Anolis sagrei: one gene and its partner. The protein of the gene in region 2 interacts with the protein of the main gene of each other region in a pairwise test. Links are inferred from orthologs where the notes say so. Each region holds a gene or a part of one and is shown on either strand. Other genes may lie near its edges.

What was found.
Region 1: the proteins of SGTA (region 2) and PBXIP1 interact in binary tests that used the Homo sapiens proteins (3 or more experiments, as listed by UniProt). The two-hybrid records come from large-scale screens. The link is inferred for Anolis sagrei from reciprocal best matches to the Homo sapiens genes SGTA and PBXIP1.

The regions. Positions count from the first base shown.
Region 1 is NC_090032.1:267,325-277,060, reverse strand, and holds the start of PBXIP1 (pre-B-cell leukemia transcription factor-interacting protein 1), read right to left. Parts: upstream 5,009-9,736; 5' UTR 4,770-5,008; intron 414-4,769; exon of another isoform or gene 35-413; intron 1-34. UniProt on the Homo sapiens protein: Regulator of pre-B-cell leukemia transcription factors (BPXs) function. Inhibits the binding of PBX1-HOX complex to DNA and blocks the transcriptional activity of E2A-PBX1.
Region 2 is NC_090034.1:62,624,062-62,634,991, reverse strand, and holds the start of SGTA (small glutamine-rich tetratricopeptide repeat-containing protein alpha), read left to right. Parts: upstream 1-6,140; 5' UTR 6,141-6,249; intron 6,250-10,623; 5' UTR 10,624-10,636; coding exon 10,637-10,736; intron 10,737-10,930. Other genes in the region: THOP1 (thimet oligopeptidase), read right to left, coding at 5,765-5,780. UniProt on the Homo sapiens protein: Co-chaperone that binds misfolded and hydrophobic patches-containing client proteins in the cytosol. Mediates their targeting to the endoplasmic reticulum but also regulates their sorting to the proteasome when targeting fails.

The DNA.
Region 1 (9,736 bases), on a different chromosome or scaffold from region 2:
CAACACACACACACACACACAACCCTTGTTGTACTTTTTCTTTTGCTCCCTCTAAATAGAACGGTTGCAAGAACGGATCTGCAAGTGAGAGGGAAGGACGATCCCCGGAGGCAGCCACAATCAAGAGTTTTGTGCCTGACGTTCCTCTCTCAAAACAGACTCAAATTAGGATGGATGTCTTGAACGCATTGACTTGATGTTCCTCTCAATATCAAGAGAGAAGGAAGGGGAAAGGGAACCAGGGAGGAGAAAAGGGAGGGCAAAGGGTCAGGAAAAGAGAGAGGAGGAGGAGGGAGGAAGAGAAGAAAGGGAAAAAGAAAGAGAAAGAATGAGAAAGAGAGAGAAAAGAGAAAAACAAGGAGAGAAAGAAAGAGAAAGGGAGAAAAAGGGAGAGAAGAGAGTAAGAAAGAAAGAAAAAGAGAGAAAAAAGAAAGAAAAAAGAATGAGGAGAGAAAGAAAAAGGAGAAATAGAGAGAGAAGGGAGTGAGAAAGAAAAGAAAGAAAAAGAACAAGGAGAAAAAGAAAGAGAAAGGGAGAAATAGAGAGAGAAGAGAGTGAGAAAGAAAGAGAGAGGAGAGAAAGAATGAGAGAGGGTGAGAGAAAGAGAAAGAAAGCATGAAAGGGGGGAGAAACAGAAAGAAAAACAAGGAGGAGAGAAAGAAAAAAGGAGAAATAGAGAGAGAAGAGACTGAAAAAGAATGAGAAAGAGAGGAGAGAAAGAATGAGAGAGGGTGAAAGAAAGAGAAAGGGAAAGACAAAGCGTGAAAGAGAGTGAGAAAAAGAAAGAAAAACAAAGACAAGAAAGAGAAAGAACAAGAGAAAGTGAAAGAAAAAAGCAAAAGAGAAAGGAAGAGGAAGAGAAAACAAAAAGACAGAGAGAGGAAAAAGAAAGAAAAAATAGAGAGAGAAAGAGAAAGAAGGAGACAGAATGAGGGAAAGAGATAGAAAAAGGAGGAGAGAAAAAGAGGGGGAAAGAAAAAAGGAAAGAGAAAGAAAAATAGAAAAAGAAATAGAGAGAAAAAAGGAAAAGAGGGAGAGAAAAAAAGAGAAAGGAAGAGAGAGAAAGAGAAAGAAAGAAAGAAAGAAAGAGGAAGAGAAAACAGAGAGAAAGGAAGACAGAGCAATAGGGAAAGAAAGAGAAAAGAGAGAGAGAGGAAAAAGAAAGAAAAATAGAGAAAGAGAAAGAAGGAGAGGGAAAGAAAGAGAGAAAGAAAGAACGAAAGAGAAAGAAAAATAGAAAAGGAAATAGAGAGAAAAAAGGAAAAGAGGGAGAGAAAAAAAGAGAAAGGAAGAGAGAAAGAGAAAGAGAAAGAAAGAAAGAAAGAAAGAAAGAGGAAGAGAGAGAGAAAACAGAGAGAAAGGAAGACAGAGCAAAAGGGAAAGAAAGAGAAAAGAGAGAGAGAGGAAAAAGAAAGAAAAATAGAGAAAGAGAAAGAAGGAGAGGGAAAGAAAGAGGGAAAGAAAGAAAGAAAGAAAGAAAGAAAGAAAGAAGGAGAAAGAAAAATAGAAAAGGAAATAGAAAAAAGGAAAAGAGGGAGAGAAAAAAAGAGAAAGGAAGAGAGAGAGAGAAAGAGAAAGAAAGAAAGAGGAAGAGAGAGAGAAAACAGAGAGAAAGGAAGACAGAGCAATAGGGAAAGAAAGAGAAAAGAGAGAGAGAGGAAAAAGAAAGAAAAATAGTGAAAGAGAAAGAAGGAGAGGGAAAGAAAGAAAGAAAGAAAGAAAGAAGGAGAAAGAACAATAGAAAAAGAAATAGAGAGAAAAAAGAAAAAGTCAAAGAGGAAGAGAGAAAAAGAGGAAGAAATTTCCTTTATGTTCCTCTCAATTAATTAATTTTACGATCCGACGGAGGGGCGCAAGGTGGCGAAACAAAGCCGCAGAGAGAAGGGTGGCCAAAGAGAGAGAGAGAAAGAAAGAAAGAAAGAAAGAAAGGAGGAGAGAGTGCCAAGGACGGGCTCCTTGGGGGGAAGGCGGCTGTGCCCGGTCTCTTCTGGCCGGAGAAAGAGAGAGAGGGACCGGGAATGCGGGGAATCCCAACCATGCCCTCTCCTTCCCAGAGCGCTGCATGGCGGTGTGTGTGTGTGCAAAAAGAAGGGCCAGAATAGCAACAGAAGGAGGTGCCTTGGCCCTGGGGATAGTTGAGGGCCCCCCCTTGGAACTGGCTGCCCTCAAGCCAAACCCCAAAGAGCCCCTTCTATATTGGAGTTGGAGTTGCTGGGATTTATAGTTCACCTGCAATCAAAGAACATTTTGAACCCCACCAATAATAACATTGGGCCAAACTTCCCACATGGAATCCCCATGACCATCAGAAAATACTGTGTTTTCTGATGGTCTTTGGTGACCCCTCTGACACCCCCTCGTGACCCCCCCAGGGGTCCCAACCCCCAGGTTGAGAAACACTGCCATAGACGTGCAACACATAGAGGCCATTCAACATTCCCGCTTTTCCGGCTTCAGGAGGGTGTGCTGAGGTCCGGCCACAGGGGGAGCTGTGACACCCAGTTCTGGATGGAGGACTTCCTCATTCTTATGCACGCTGCTGGAAGGTTTTATGGCGCTGTAAATTAATTAAGTTAGCCTCCCCGCGTAAAGCAATACCTAAATTTCCTAGTGAAGAGAGAGGGGGCCAGGAAGACAGCTCCACCTCGTCTCCTTGTCTATTTCCTTCCTTCCCCAGATTCCTCCGTGGGGCGAGCAGAAAGAGGGACAGCTGCAAGGGCTCAAAAGGGAAGGCGCCCGGCCTTATTTATAGCTGCGCTTAATGCCTTGCAGCAGGTGGGACGCTCCCAAACCTGGGCAAGCAAGCAAGCGAGCAAGCAAGCAAGAGCATGGCCAGGGTTCCCTCCCTCCGCTCTCTCCTTCCTTCCTTCCTTCCCCTTCGGAGGCTCCCAGCCTCTCTCTCTCTCTCTCTCTCTCTCTCTCTCTCTCTCTTCTGGGCAAAAACTTCCTTTTTAGGGCAAGTCACTTTGTTTGATTTCCAGGCACTCGTTGGACTCAAGGCGACCGACCGGGACACAGGAACAGACCCAAAGAAAGGACAACTGGAACCAAGTTCCCTTCCTCTTTGGAGAGAGTCCTTCTCCCTCTTCCATTGAAAGGAGTTGTTGTTCACCCCCAGAAGTGTCGCTTTGTGTGTCTGCCACAAACTAGGTGGCAATGGGTTGAGACTCCATGATGAGACCTTCATTGAGACGCTATAGCACATGACATTGATAACAACCCAGGAACAATAATCACGTCACATAGTATTATTATTATTATTATTATTATTATTATTATTATTACTACTACTACTACTCTTATATTTATTAATATAATATTTAGTATATAATGATATAATTGTTGAGACTTGACGATGGGACATTCATTGAAAAACTCGAGCACATGACGTTGATAACAACCCAGGAACAATAATCACGTCACATAGTATTATTATTATTATTATTATATTTATCAATATAATATTTAGTATATTTATTTATATTTATTTATTTATCGTGTCATTATATACTATATTTAGTATATAATGATATAATTGTTGAGACTCGATCATTGAGAAGCTCGAGTACATGACAACAATCATCACGTCACATAGTATTATTATTATTATTATTATTACTACTATTTCTATTAATATAATATTTAGTATATAATGATATAATTGTTGAGACTCAATGATGGGACATTCATTGAAAAGCTATAGCACATGACATTGATAACAACCCAGGAACAATAATCACAACACATAGTATTATTATTATTATTATTATTATTATTATTATTATTATATTTATTAATATAATATTTAGTATATAATGATATAATTGTATTGCTATTGCAATAATATTACATCATAAGATAATTAATATAACTTAATAATATCATATAATAATAGAAATAATACAATAACATATATAATAGTTTTTAAATAAATACTAAATAAATAAACATATATTATTCTATTTATTAATATAATATTTAGTATATAATGATATAATTGTATTGCAATAATATTACATCATAAAATAATTAATATAACAATAATATCATATAATAATAGATATAATACAATAATAACATATATAATAATAAATGTAATTATAATATAAAACGAAAATAATATAATATATCATAATAATAAATATAATTACATACCGTAACGTAATGTGCTACAGCAGGATGTCCCAGAAGAACAATGTTTTGGCAATTTAATCAACTTTCCCTACGTTTTGATGGCAGACCCAATTAGGAAATGATGTTGATAACACAACAATAATATAATATAAATAATATAATATAATAATAAAACAATAAATAATATAATATAATATAAAACAACAATAATATAATACATAATAATAATAAATGTAATAATAAATATCATGACATACTGTAACGTAATGTGCTATTATAGCAGGATGTCCCAGAAGAACAATATTTTGGCAATTTAATCAACTTTCCCTATGTGTTGATGACAGACCCAATTAGGAAATGACGTTGATAGCCCAGGGACACAAATTGTGTTGCAAAGTGTTATGGACACTTTTGGGAAAGAGGATGCTGTTGCCGTGGCAACCCTGCACGCGCTGGACCAAATCCAAGGGAGGAAGGAAAGCACGCCCAATCCTACAGTCATTATTATTACAATAATAATAATAATAATAATAATAATAATAATACTAATAATAATAATAATAATAATGCTGCTAGTTCTGCCTCTCAATGGCCAACCCCTGGCCCTCCCTGTGGGGCCCCCAAGGGATCCTTACCTGGAAGGCAGGTGGGCAAGCTCTTTCCTTCCTTTCTTTCCCTTCTTCCTTCCTTCCTTTCGGCTTCTCAACTTTCCTCTCTTGAAACTTCTGTTGCAGCTGCTTCCCCTGCAAGGTGGGCGGGACCGAGGGCAGCCAGGGAACCAATCAGGAGGCGTGAGAGGGAGAGCCCAGCCAATGAGTGCAAAGCTGGCTGGAAAATAAGTCTGCAAGAAGTCTGCTCCACTTGCAGGTTGGCATTAAAGGAGACATAATAATAATAATAATAATAATAATAATAATAATAATAATAATAATAATAATAATAATATAGAGGAAACTCCTGTGGGGATTGGGAGATGCCAGGTCAATCATCATCACCATCATCATCCTCATCAGACTCTCTGTTAATCCATGACCTCTCGTGGGTTTAGTAGATGTTGCATTAACAATAAATAATAATAATAATAAATATATTAATAATACTACAATAATAATACAATACAAAAATAATACAATTACCCCATGGGGATTGTTAGATGTGTATCAATAATAATAATAATAATAATAATAATAATATATTAATAATACAGTATTATTAATTACTGTATTTAATAATACAGTAATTAATAATACAATTAACCCATGGCCCCCATGAAGATTGGTAGATGTGTATAAATGATAATAATAAATATATTAATAATAATACAGTAGATCCCCAGTTAACCCATGGTACCTATGGGGATTGGGATCAATAATAATAATAATTATTAATAAATATATAAATATTAATACAGCAGACCCCCAATTAACCCACGGTACTAATGGGGATTGGTGGATGTGTACCAATAACAAACATCATAATAATAATAATAATAAATATATTAATAATAATACCCCAGACCCCCAATTAACCCACAGTACCCATGGGGATTGGTAGTTGGTATCAATAATAATAGTAATAATAATAATAATAATAATAATAATAATAATATATAAATAATAATACAGTAGACCCCCCAGTTAACCCATGGTACCCATGGGAACTGGTAGATATGTACCAATAATATATATATATATATTAATAATAATATAATAGACCCCCAGTTAACTCATACTACACATGGGGATTGGTAGTTGTGTACCAATAATAATAGTAAATATGTTAATAATAATATAATAGACCCCCAGTTAACCCATGGTACCCATGGGGATTGGTAGATGTATACCAATAATAATATTAATAATAATAATAAAATATATTAATAACAATACAGTAGACCCCCAATTAACCCATGCCCCCCCCATGGGAATTGGTAGATGTGTACCAATAATAAAATATATATATATATTAATAATAATACAGTAGACCTCCCAATTAACCCATGGTACCCATGGGGATTGGTAGATGTGTACCAATAATAAATATATTATTATTAATAATAATAAATATTTTAATAATAACACAGCAGACCCCCAATTAACCCACGGTACCCATGGTAATTGGTGGATGTGTATCAATAATAAATATAAATATAATAATATATGAATAATAATACTGTAGACCCCCCAATTAATCCATGGTACCTATGGGGATTGGTAGATGTATACCAATAATAATAATAATAATAATAATATATAAAAATATAAATAAATAATATAGTCGACTCCCAATTAACCCATGGCCGCCCCCATGGGGATTGGTAGATGTGTATCAATAATAATATCAACAACAATAACAGGGATCGATAAATGCTGTGTGAGTGCAGTTTGTGGTTGCTTGAGAGTCCCTCTCTCTTAAAGGCAGACCTCGTGCTGTAACCCAGACCATAAACTCTGCATCGACTGGGGATTCACCTTGCAGTCCAGTCGTGAAAAGCAAACCAAGACCATCAACGCCAAACCCAACAGCCTGGCTGTAGCATGACAACCAGCTTTTCAAAAATGCAAAGTGTGGTTTCTTTGGTTTTGTTTCCACCTGTTGCTTGGATTCCGGTTAACTAAGAGTCTGCTGTAGTCATGTTTTGTTTCACATAGAAAAAAATATATTTCTATGGGTTGCCTTTGGAGCCTCCGCTTTGGGGACTCCCCCAAGCCCAAGGGCCGCCGTCCTTTGCAAAGACCGGTCTTCTTTCTCTTCGGCTGGAGAAGGAATGCAGCCAAGAAGATCCCAACAGAGGAGGGAAGGAGAGAGCGGTGCTGGCCCCAAACTGTCACCACATTTCAAGGAAGGAGGCGGCAAAGACAAAGGGGGAGAGACGGCCCCACAAAAGGTCTCTCCGCTGGCCCTGCTCCAGCTGGAAGGCCGACCCACACTTGGGAGCAAGGAGCAAACACGGGGCCAAGGCTCTTCCTCTGGAACATCGGGGTTAGGAATCCTTGGAAGCGTCTACACGGTGATTCCAATGCACTTTGGTCCCCTTCTGCCCCGTTGCCCCCCTCACCTGCAATGCTTCTGCACACCCCAAACTGAACCCCAAACTGAGCAAGACACAGGGACGGGCAAGTGGCATCAAAGGCTGGACAAAATAAGAACCATAATAATAACCACAATAATAATAATCCGGCATATAGATCTCCTTTGCTGTGACATACTGTGCTTCTGTGTCAGAAAAATAATAATAATAATGATATTTAATCGTCGAAGGCTTTCATGGCTAGAATCACTGGGTTGCTGTAGGTTTTTCAGGCTATATGACCACGTTCTAGAAGCATTCTCTTCTGACGTTTCACCTGCATCTATGGCAAGCATCCTCAGAGGTTGTGAGGTCTCTCACAACCTCTGGGGATGCTTGCCACAGATGCAGGCGAAACGTCAGGAGAGAATGCTTCTAGAACACTCTCACTACCTCTGGGGATGCTTGCCATAGATGCAGGCGAAAGGTCAGGAGAGAATGCTTCTAGAACACTCTCACAACCTCTGTGGATGCTTGCCAGAGATGCAGGCGAAATGTCAGGAGAGAATGCTTCTAGAACAGTCTCACAAACCTCTTGCCATAGATGCAGGCGAAATGTCAGGAGAGAATGCTTCTAGGACACTCTCACAACCTCTGAGGACGCTTGCCATAGATGCAGGCGAAACGTCAGGGGAGAATGCTTCTAGAACACTCTCACAACTCTTCCCATAGATGCAGGCGAAATGTCAGGAGAGAATGCTTCTAGAACATGGCCATATAGCCCGGAAAACAGACAACAACCCATTAATAATTATGTCTCCCAAAGGAGACTCACTTAACATAAAAGCTGACAAAATGCCAAAAGTTAACATAAAACTTTTGTCTGGGGTTGCAAAATTGTCCATCTACACTGTCGAATTAATGCACTTTGATACCACTTTGATGCTAAAGGATGGTGAGAGTTCTAGTTCAGTGGCATTCGGCAGACCTTGTCAAATCATGAATCCGTAGCACTGAGCCATGGCCGTGCTATGCATTAATGCTAATAATAATAATAATATAATTGTATATTTTATATTAAATGTAATATTACTAATAATATTACAGGATAATGTTATAGTACAATGTAATATATAATATTAATATTGTGCTAAGATAATAATAATAATAATATATTGCATTTACTTTTTACTTGTCAGCCGCTCTGAGTCCCCTTCGGGGTGAGAAAGGCGCCATATCAAGGTCGTCAATAATAAATAAATACGTAAATAAATCAATTTATATTTGCAGGTGGCTGATTTTGGAGGCAGCGGGTTCCGGGCTTGACCCCAAACATCCCCAATCATTACTAAATATGTAAACATTTTCAAGAGGAAAGGAATACCCCAATTACTTTACAAAACGTCACTTTTTTAATGTTTTCACATAAAAACAAGGAGGAAAAAAGGGGGGAATTACAAACCCAAGGATGGCGCCCCGCTCGCTCCCCCCACCCCCCAATCCCCCCTCCCTCTCTTCCCAAAAACCCCAAACACATGCGCAACCCAAGGAAAGTCAACAAAAAAAAAGGGATTTGCTTAAAAAACATTATTTAAAAAATAATGATCATGATCATAATAATAATCCGTGTCCCGAGAGTCTTGTTTCCGTCTCTCCCGCTCTCGGGGGCAGAGCTTGGAAGCAGAAAGCGTTCCCCAAGAGGTATCTCGTGTCCCCCAAAAAAGGTCCGGCTTCGGAATCCGTTCCAGGCCAAATTTAGGGGAAAATTAGGAAATTTCCCATCTCCTTTCCCCCAAAGTCTGTAGAGTGTCCTTATTGCCATTGATTTGGAAACGGAAGCAGAAAAGCGTCCACAAGCGTATAGAGCAAATGGACGCAGCTGTCGTGCGTCACTCTGGAAAGCAAGAGGTGTGGACTAGTGCTGATAACAGCACTTCCTGTGTTCACAATGTTACGATTGGACGGTGCGCTGAGTGTTAAGTAGCTTCTAATGTATATCGCTGTAAAATAATGTAGTTTATAGCCTAAGGTGGCTGTCATTGATCACGTTCCTGCCTTACTGACAGCTGGGTTATGGGCCCAGAACCACGTTTCACCGCTGCATCTAATCTACGATGATTGTCACTGACAGAGGTCTCTTCCCAGAAAGGCTTTATTGTTTGAGAAGGGAAGCCCCATCAGGCTCCTCTCTGAGGGTCCTTCCACACAGCCGTATCAACCAGAACATCCAAGCAGATCGTCCACAAAAGGGCCAGAGGATTAGCACGGGTGGTAAATCATCAGCAATTATAAGATCTATCAACCAAAAGGTTGCAAGTTCGAAGCCCTGGGTTGGCGTGAGCTGCCAACTGTCAGCCTAGCTCATTGTTTACCTAAGCAATTTGAAAACAGCTTTAGAGAAATTAGGTACCACTATATAGAGGGGGAGGTGTTTTACGACACCATAAAGAAGGAAGATCAGAAAATGTTGGGCCACCAAAAGGAAGGAGGAAGCCAACAGCACCCCCTGGACTCGAGCTCCAACTTCCATGGCACCTCCTTCTGTTCTGTCTGTCTGTGTATTGAATGTTTGCCGTGTATGTGTACTGTGAT
Region 2 (10,930 bases):
CACGAGTCGCCCTAGGGCTGAGAGTGGCGGTCAATAAATGCAAGAAATAAATAAATAAATAATAAATCCCTACCAACCACGCCTGTGACGGGGGTGGGAGCAAGAAAAGAGCATCCCCGGAATATCTTAAGGACCGTGTGGGCTTGAAGATAGGCAGGTCCTGAACTGTTTAGAGCTTTATAGGTAATAACCTGCACCTTGAATTGGGACTGGAAACTTATCGGTAGCCAGTGGAGATATTTAAACAGGGGGGTTGACTGCTCCCTGTAATTTGCTCCAGTTAACAATCTGGCCGCTGACCTTTGCACCAGTTGTAGTTTCTGAACCGTCTTCAAGGGCGACCCTATGTAGAGTGCATTACAATAGTCCAATCTTGAGGTAACTAAAGTGTGGACCACCATGGTCAAGTCAGACTTCTCGAGGTACAGTCGCAGCTGACGCAGAAGTTTGAACTGTGCAAAGGCCCTCCCGCCCTCTGCCGATGCCTGAGCATCAAGTGTCAGCGCTGAGTCCAGGAGGACCCCCAAACTGCAGACCTGTGTCTTCAAGGGGAGTGTAACCCCATCAAACACAGGTTGCCACTCTATACCCCGTTCGGCCAAGCGACTGACCTGTCTTGTCAGGATTAAATTTCAGCTTGTTGGCCCTGATCCAGTTCATCACAGCAGCCAGGCACTGGTCCAGGATCCGAGGGGCTTCCTTGGATTTTGGTGGAAAGGAGTAATAGAGTTGCATGTCATCTGTGTAGAGATGACAACGAACTCCAAAACTCCAGATGACCTCACCCAGTGGTTTCATGTAGATATTAAAAAGCATGGGGGAAAGAATAGAACCCTGCGGGACCCCATAGGTCAAAGGCCAGGGGTCCGGTCAGGTATCCCCCACCTTCACCAACTGGGTGCAGCCCTCCAGAAGGAATGGGGGCACTGCATTCCAAAGAGCCATCCCAGAAGGATACCATGATCGATGGTATCGAAAGTCACTGAGATGTCCAGGAGAACCAACAAGGTCACACTCCCCCTGTCAAGTTCTCTGTAGAGGTCATCCACCAAGGCAACCAAAGCAGTCTCGGTACTGTGACCAGGCCTGAAACCAGACTGCGATGGGTCCAGAAAATCGGTTTCGTCCAGGAATCCCTGGAGTTGAGAAGCAACCACTCGTTCCAGAATCTTACCCAAAAAAAGGGAGATTTGAGATTGGCCGATAGTTGTTCGATATTGATGAGTCAAGAGATGCCTTTTTAAAGAGCGGTCTCATGACTGCCTGTTTTCGGCATGGTGGAATTTGCCCTTGCTCCAATGAAGCATTTATTATCTTTTACAACCAATCGGCCACCCCTCCTCCAGCAAGTTTTATAAGCCACGACGGGCAAGGGTCTAGTGCGCATGTAGTCGCCCTCACCGCTCCAAGGATCCTGTCCATGTCATCAGGCTGCACCAGTTGAAATGAATCTAATAAGATCGAACTGACCGATGCCTCGGTTACCTCACCTGACAATGTAAGAATGTTGGCGTCCAGATCGGAGCATATCTGAGCGACTTTATCTGCAAAATGATGCGTGAACTCGCTGCATCAAGTGATTGGATTGTCGAGGAGCTCCTCCATCCCAGGAGGGTGGGCATAGTCACCCAGCTTGTCCAATCAGATTTTGGTAATACAAGCTAGAACGGCCTTTTCTTCCAGGACCAAGTCCTGGATAACTCCTGTTTTACCGTTGACCTTAAGCCTAGGGGGTCTGTCATTATTATTATTATTATTATTATTAACTTTATTTGTACCCCGCTAGCATCTCCCGAAGGACTCGATGCGGCTTACAAAGGCCAAAGCCTCAAAACACAAACATAACAATACATAACCTAATGCAAATTAAAAACAGTTAAAGCAATATTAAACAACAAGTAATAAAACAATACACCAGGACACAATAAAACTGGGCCGGGCCAGAGTAATGGGTACAAATTAAAAGTGCTGATGTGACAGGTGATATGTGAGGATTATAGGGTAAGTGCAATGTGCCAGCAATCTTAATTTCTAATAAAGTGCTTCTGGGACTTGTTGTTGGAGTTTTCCTATTCTGGAAAGGCACATCGGAACAGCCAGGTCTTCAAGTTCTTTCTAAAGACTGCCAACGTAGGGGCCTGTCTAAGATCTTTGGGGAGGGTATTCCAGAGTCGAGGGGCCACCACAGAAAAGGCCCTGTCTCGCGTCCCCACCAGACGCGCCTGCGACGCAGGCAGGACCGCGAGCAGGGCCTCTCCGGATGAACGAAGTGAGCGCGTGGGTTCATAAACGGAGATGTGGTCACGCAGGTAGGAAGGTCCCAAACCGTTTAGGGCTTTGTAGGTAAGCACCTGCACCTTAAATTGGGCTCAGAAGATAAACGGCAGCCAGTGGAGCTCCTTGAACAGGAGGGTTGAACTCTCTCTGTAAGGAGCACCAGTTAACATTGTGGCCGCTGCCCGTTGGACCAGTTGAAATTCCCGAGCCGTTTTCAAGGGCAGCCCCACATAGAGCGCATTACAGTAGCCCAATCTAGAGGTGACCAAGGCGTGGACCACCCCGGCCAGATCAGCTTTTGCGAGGTATGGTTGCAGTTGGCGCACGAGTCTCAATTGTGCAAAAGCCCTCCCGGACACCACCGACGTCGGAGCCTCAAGCGCAAGTGATGAGTCCAAGAGAACTCCCAAACTGTGGACCTGTGACTTCAGAGGGAGTGCAACCCCGTCCAACACAGGTTGCCACCCTATACCCCCATCAGGTTTACGATCGACCAGGAGGACCTCTGTCTTGTCGGGATTGATCTTCAGCTTGTTCTTCCTCATCCAGATTAGACACAACGGCCAGGCACTCGTCCAGCACCCGAGAGGCCTCCTTGGAGTTAGGTAGAAATGAGTAATAGAGTTGTGAGTCATCTGCGTAGAGATGGCACCTAACTCCAAAACTCCGGATGACCTCTCCCAGCGGTTTCATGTAGATGTTTAAAAGCATGGGAGACAAAATAGAGCCTTGCGGGACCCCACAGGTCAAAGGCCAGGGGTCCGAGCAGGCATCTCCCAGCTTCACCATCTGGGATTGACCCTCCAGGAAGGACCGGAGCCAGGACAAAACCATGCCCCCAAGACCCATCCCAGAGAGTCAACCCAGAAGGATACCATGATCGATGGTATCGAAAGCCGCTGAGATGTCCAAGAGAACCAACAGGGTCACACTCCCCCTGTCCAGCTCTCTACGGAGGTCATCCACCAAGGCGACCAAAGCTGTCTCGGTGCCGTGACTAGGCCTGAAACCAGACTGACTGATCTAGGTAGTTGATGTCATGTAGGCTAACCGGCTTAACTTGCCTCAGGGTTGCAAGAACTTTGTTGTGCTTCTCCTTGAGTTGATGAATTCAACCAGATCCTCTCCTCCTCTCCCCCCCCCCCCCACTACCTCAATGGTCTCCCCCCGAGTCGGGACCCTTCCCCCCCACACACACACCCAGGGTAGGCCAGGGCAGTAGTAATATATAACGGGGTAAGTCAACTGTCTGATCCCAGGGAATCAAAATATATCCTGTTCAAGGAGCACCACTGGCTGCCGTTTATTTTCCGAGCCCAATTTAAGGTGCAGGTGCTTACCTACAAAGCCCTGAACGGTTTGGGACCATCCTACCTGCGTGATCGCATCTCTGTCTACGAATCCACGCGTTCACTTCGATCATCCGGAGAGGCCCTACTCGTGATCCCGCCTGTGTCGCAAGCGCATCTGGTGGGGACACGAGACAGGGCCTTTTCTGTGGTGGCCCCCCGACTCTGGAACACCCTCCCCAAAGATCTTAGACAGTCCCCTACACTGGCAGTCTTTAGAAAGAACTTGAAGACCTGGCTGTTCCGATGTGCCTTCCCAGAATAGGAAATCTCCAATACCAAGTCCCAGAAGCACTTTATTAGAACTAAGATTGCTGCACACCGCACACTGCACTTGCCTTATAAGCCTTATATACCACCTGTCACATCAGCACTTTTAATCCTATACCCATTACTCTGGCCCGGCCCAGTTTTATTGTGTCTTAGTGTATTGTTTATTGCTTGTTGTTTATATTGCTTTAATTGTTTTTAATTTGCCTTAGGTTTTGTATTGTTATGTTGTGCTTTGAGGCCTTGGCCTTTGTAAGCCGCATCGAGTCCTTTGGGAGATGCTAGCGGGGTACAAATAAAGTTTAATAAATAATAATAATAATAATAATAATAATATCCTGGTGCAATGCTTAATGGAGCGGGGGTTTCCTGGAGAAGCGAAAGGAGGGAGTCATCTAAAGTACTGGAGGGATTAAAAGGCTCCTATGGAGGCTCTTAAACAGAGGCTGGATGCCCATCTGTTGGGAGTGCTTTTAACGCGATTTTCCTGTTTCTTGTCAGGGGGTTGGACTGTTAATTTTTATTTTTTGTATGTATGTATTTTATCTTTTATGATTTAGCTGTAAATCGCCTGGAGCATTCTCGGATGGAGGGCGATTAATAAGTTATTAAATGATGATGATGATGATGATGGATGGAAGGAAAGGTCTCTTTTAACTCTATATCTATATCATGGGACTTCTCTGGTTGCTCCAAAGCTCTAGGTGCTCTTACTGCCTATTACAGGGAAAACCAGCTGATCCCCAACCCATCTAAAACACAGACATGTGCCTTTCACCTTAAGAACAGACAAGCATCCCGAGCTCTGAGGATTACCTGGGAAGGAAGGAATCCCACTGGAGCATTGCAGCGCACCCAAATACCTGGGAGTCACTTTGGACCGTGCTCTGACCTACAAGAAGCACTGCCTGAACATCAAACAAAAAGTGGGCGCTAGAAACAATATCATACGAAAGCTGACTGGCACAACCTGGGGATCACAACCAGACACAGTGAAGACATCTGCCCTTGCGCTGTGCTACTCTGCTGCTGAGTATGCATGCCCAGTGTGGAACACATCTCACCACACTAAAACAGTGGATGTGGCTCTGAATGAGACATGCCGCATTATCACAGGGTGTCTGCGCCCTACACCACTGGAGAAATTACACTGCTTAGCCGGTATTGCACCACCTGACATCCGCCGGGAAGTAGCAGCCAATAGTGAAAGGACCAAGGCAGAGACATCTCCAGCTCATCCCCTGTTTGGGTATCAGCCAGCACGTCAACGACTTAAATCAAGACATAGTTTTCTTAGATCTACAGAGACACTCGCTGGAAGACCCCAGCAAGCAAGAGTCCAAAAGTGGCAGGCTCAAACCCAAATGAGAGACTCCCCCCTGGGCACACAGAGGTCTGGGCGACTTGGAAGGCGCTGAACAGACTGCGTTCTGGCACCACGAGATGCAGAGCCAACCTTCAGAAATGGGGCTACAAAGTGGAATCCTCGACATGCGAGTGTGGAGAAGAGCAAACTACAGACCACCTGCTGCAATGCACCCTGAGCCCTGCCACATGCACCATGGAGGACCTTCTTGTGGCAACCCCAGAGGCACTCCAAGTGGCCAGATACTGGTCAAAGGACATTTAATCAACTACCAAATCTGCAAAATCTGTGTGTTTTTTTTTCCTTTTTCTTTTTAATCTGTGTGTTTGTTTTGCTCTGTTAGAAGTGTAACACAATGCTTGCTGATGACACGATAAATAAATAAATGGGACTTCTGTGCCTCTCTAGGGTGAAAGGGGGCAGCCTCCAGACCTGCCCCTTGCTTTTCCCCATCAGGACAATGATAATACTACTACCAATAATAATAAGGCCCCTTCCTCACCTGTCGGGGGAGCCATGTGTGCTGCTGCTGCTGCGTCTGCTACTTCCGGTGCTTCTGCTGCCAATCCTCTGGTGGACCGCCCCCTGGCCTACTAAGAAACTCCGCCCCTTTTGACGACGGCACTCGGAAGTGTTGGGACAGCGCCACCCTCCCCGCGCCCTTTGGCGTCCTCCTCCTAACCTAACCTAAGCTTTTCAACCTGACATCTAGAGATAGACAAACTGCGCATGCGATCCCTTGGCAATTGCACTGACCGGGACTGCGCACGCGCTCTCTTCGAGGAAAAGGAGAGAAGGAAGTGGGCCTCCCGCGGCCCTTGCCACTGATTGACGCAGGCGCAAAAGCGAGTTCCGCCTCCTCTTCTTCCTGCGCAGGCGCGCTTGGGAGCAGGCGAGGCGAGACAAGGGGGCCTGGTCTGCGCATGCGCACTCGGGGGAAGGAGGGGAGGAGGAGGCCTCTGCTTGCCTGCCTGCTTGCTGCCACTGGTGAGCTTTCTTCTCCAAAGCGCCCCCCTTTGTGTCTATTATTATTGTATTCATGTATATTCTGCTTTCTCTCTCCATAAGGAGGCTCAAAGCATCTATCCATCTAGATTATTATATTACATATTTATTATTGTTGATATTATATGTATTTATGTCTTGCTTGATCCCTCCATAAGAAGACTCAAAGCAGATATGTGTTATTATTATTATATTGCATAGTTATTATAGTTGTTATTGTTATCAGTATTTATTGACACCTCATCTTATCTCTCCCAAAGGAGACCCAAGCTGCTATGTATCTGTTACTATGTATTTTTTATATTGATTTGCACCCCACTTTACCTCTTGCTTTCAGTGACCGTGTACCTATTATTATTATTAATAATGGAAGCAGCTTTGGTCACCTTTGTGAGTGGGTTGCCTCCGCAGGGAGTTCGGCGTGGGTCGGGTGTCCCTATTGGTTCTCTTGGATCTCTCACCGGTTTTTATACAATTGACTATGGTGTCCTTCTGGGCCGGCTCTCCGGAAGGGTCTTGGGAGCATTGCACTTCAATGGCTCCTCTCCTTCCTGGAGGGCCACACCCAGTATGTGAAGTTGGGGGACTCCTTCTCGAACCTCTTGGCCTGTGACCTATGGCAGTGGTTCTCAACCTTGGGTCCCCAGATGTTTATGGCCTACAACTCCCAGAAATCCCAGCTAGTTTACCAGCTGTTAGGATTTCTGGGAGTTGAAGGCCAAAAACATCTGGGGACCCCAGGTTGAGAACCACTGACCTATGGGGTCCTGCAAAGGTTCCATTCTCACCCCCCCATGTTCTTCAATATCTACATGAAACCGCTGGGCGAGGTCATCCCGAGTTTTGGGGTTCAGTGCCATCTCTATGCAGATGTCACCCCAACTCTATTATTCGTTTCCAGCACAATTTAAGGAGGCTCCCCGAGTCCTGGACCAGTGCCTGGCAGCTGTGATGGGCTGGATGAGGACCAACAAGCTGAGACTCAATCCAGACAAAACAGAGGCTCTCCTGGTCAGTCACAAGGGCATTTCAGAGCCGGGGGCCACTACTGAGAAGGCCTTCTCTCTTGTTCCCACCAACTGTGGAGGTGGGAGCAAGGGAAGGGCCTCCCCGGCAGATCTTAAGGCCTGGTCCACAGGGGGAGATGCGGTCGCGTAAATATGCTAAACTCGAGTCCTGGGCCAGTGCCTGGCAGCTGTGATGGGCTGGATGAGGACCAACAAGCTGAGACTCAATCCAGACAAAACAGAGGCTCTCCTGGTCAGTCACAAGGGCATTTCAGAGCCAGGGGCCACTACTGAGAAGGCCTTCTCTCTTGTTCCCACCAACTGTGGAGGTGGGAGCAAGAGAAGGGCCTCCCCGGCAGATCTTAAGGCCTGGTCCACAGGGGGAGATGCGGTCGTGTAAATATGCTAAACTCGAGTCCTGGGCCAGTGCCTGGCAGCTGTGATGGGCTGGATGAGGACCAACAAGCTGAGACTCAATCCAGACAAAACAGAGGCTCTCCTGGTCAGTCACAAGGGCATTTCAGAGCCGGGGGCCACTACTGAGAAGGCCTTCTCTCTTGTTCCCACCAACTGTGGAGGTGGGAGCAAGGGAAGGGCCTCCCCGGCAGATCTTAAGGCCTGGTCCACAGGGGGAGATGCGGTCGCGTAAATATGCTAAACCCGAACTGTGTAGGGCTTTGTAGGCAATAACCTGCACTTTGAATTGGGCCCGGAAACACATAGGCAGCCAATAGAGGTGCTTTAATAAGGGGGTGGTATGTTCCCTATAATCTGCTCCTGTCAGCAACCTGGCCACTGATCTTTGCACCAGCAGTTTTCGAGCTTCTTCAGAGACAGCCCCATGTAGAGTGCATTGCCGTAATCCATCCAAGATGTAACTAAGGCATGGACCACCATGGCCACATCTGGCTTTTTATATGGCAGGAGTACATTTATATCTGGATGAACTCTCTGGGATAGGATGTGACTTGAGGGCCATTGCTTTGCAGTGGTTCTGCTCCTTCCTGGAGGACCAGACCCAGATGGTGGTGCAGGGGGACTGTGGGGTCTCTCAAGGTTCCACTCTATCTCCCATGCTCTTCAATATCTACATGAAACCGCTGGGCGAGGTCATCCGGAGTTTTGGAGTTCGGTGCCATCTCTATGCAGATGTCACTCAACTCTATTATTCATTTCCAGCACAATCCAAGGAGGCTCCCCGAGTCCTGGGCCAGTGCCTGGCAGCTGTGATGGGCTGGATGAGGACCAACAAGCTGAGACTCAATCCAGACAAAACAGAGGCTCTCCTGGTCAGTCACAAGGGCATTTCAGAGCCAGGGGCCACTACTGAGAAGGCCTTCTCTCTTGTTCCCACCAACTGTGGAGGTGGGAGCAAGGGAAGGGCCTCCTTGGCAGATCTTAAGGCCTGGACCACAGGGGGAGATGCGGTCGCGTAAATATGCTAAACCCGAACTGTGTAGGGCTTTGTAGGCAATAACCTGCACTTTGAATTGGGCCCGGAAACACATAGGCAGCCAATAGAGGTGCTTTAATAAGGGGGTGGTATGTTCCCTATGAAACATGCCCCGGTGGCGCCGTGGGTTAAAGCACTGAGCTGCTGAGCTTGTTGAGCGAAAGGTCGCAGGTTCGATTTCGGGGAGCGGCGTGAGCGTCCGCTGTCAGCCCTAGCTTCTGCCAACATAGCAGTTCGAAAACATGCAAATGTGAGTAGATCAATAGGTACCGCTCCGGCGAGAAGGTAACGGCGCTCCATGTAGTCATGCCGGCCACATGACCTTGGAGGTGTCTACGGACAACGCCGGCTCTTCGGCTTAGAAATGGAGATGAGCACCACACCCCAGAGTCAGACATGACTGGACTTAATGTCAGGGGACTACCTTTACCTTTACCTATGTTCCCTATAATCTGCTCCTGTCAGCAACCTGGCCACTGATCTTTGCACCAGCAGTTTCCGAGCTGTCTTCAGAGACAGCCCCATGTAGAGTGCATTGCCGTAATCCCTCCGAGATGTAACTAAGGCATGGACCACCATGGCCACATCTGGCTTTTTATATGGCAGGAGTACATTTATATCTGGATGAACTCTCTGGGATAGGATGTGACTTGGGGGCCATTGCTTTGCAGTGGCTCTGCTCCTTCCTGGAGGACCAGACCCAGATGGTGGTGCAGGAGGACTGTGGGGTCTCTCAAGGTCCCACTCTATCTCCCATACTCTTCAATATCTACATGAAACTGATGGGTGAGGTCCTCCGGAGCTTTGGATTTGGGTGCCATCCCAACTCTACTACTCTTTTCCACTCCATTCCAAGGAAGCTCCCTGGGTCCTGTACCAGTGCCTGGCAATTTTGATGGGCTGGATGAGGGTCAACTAGCTTACAATCCTGGTAAGTTGCGAGGCTGATCAGGGCCTAGGATCAGGGCGAGGCTGATCAGGGCCTGTGCTTGACGGAAGGGGTCACGCTGCCCCTGAGGACATAGTTCTGCAGCCTGGGGGTCCTCCTGGACTCAGTGCTGACCCTTGAAGCTCAGGTATCGACGGTGGCCCGGAGGGCCTTTGCATAGTTAAAGCTTGTGCACTATCTGCGACCGTACCTCAAAAAGCCTGATGGCCATGGTGGTCCACGCCTTAGTTACATCCAGAATAGACTACTGAAATGCATTCTACGTGGGCTGCCTTTGAAGACGGCTCGGAAGCTGCAGCTAATGCAAAGATCAGCAGCAAGGCTTCTAACTGGAGTTAATTATAGGGAGCGCAGGATGCCCCTATTAAAGCAGCTCCACTGGCTTCTGATAAGTTTCTGGTCCCAATTCAAGGTGCAGGTTACCACCTACAAAGCCCTACACAGTTCAGGTCCAGCCTATCTTCGAGACCGCATTTGCTTCTATGAACCGGTGTCAGTTTTGAGATCTGCCTGGAGGCCCTCCTCTTGGTCCCACCTCCGTCTCAAGTGCGGTTGGTGGGGACGAGGGAGAGAAAGAGAAGACCCTTCTTGGTGGTGCCCACCCTCCTGGGGTCTGGAACACCCTCCCCAGGGAGAGTACTTTTGGAAAGAGCTAAAATGTGGCTTTTGAAACAATTTAAGATAGTTGCCATTGATTGCCAATTATCTTTTAATCATGGCTACAGCCATATTTTGCTGTCTCTATTTAATGGAAGCTGCTTTTGTTAATTTAATATATTGGTTTTATCGGATGTGTTATTGATTTTATGCTGTTGTATTGCATGTGTGTTATATTGTAAGCGGCCCCGAGTCCCTATGGGAGATGGTGGTGGGGTATAAATAAAAGTTTATTATTATTGCTATTGTTATTATATTGATTTGCACCCGGCTTTATCATCTGCACCAAGGAGACTGAGAGAGATGGCTGACAACAAGCGCCTGGCCTTCGCCATCGTCCGATTCCTGCAGGATCAGCTCCAGGACGGAGGCCTCTCCCCGGATGCCCAGGAGAGCCTTGAAGGTGGGCCCTCATTCAAATATCATCAGCATCATAACAATGCCCTGCCTTTTCTCTCCACAAGGAGACTCAAAGCTTTTGGAAGAACGCCTTTTGGAGATCATAACTTTTAAGGAAAAGCCTGACCTTTCAGAAAGGAGCCAAAAACCCTTTAGAGTAGAACCTTCTCTTGTGCCATACAACCAAATATAATTATG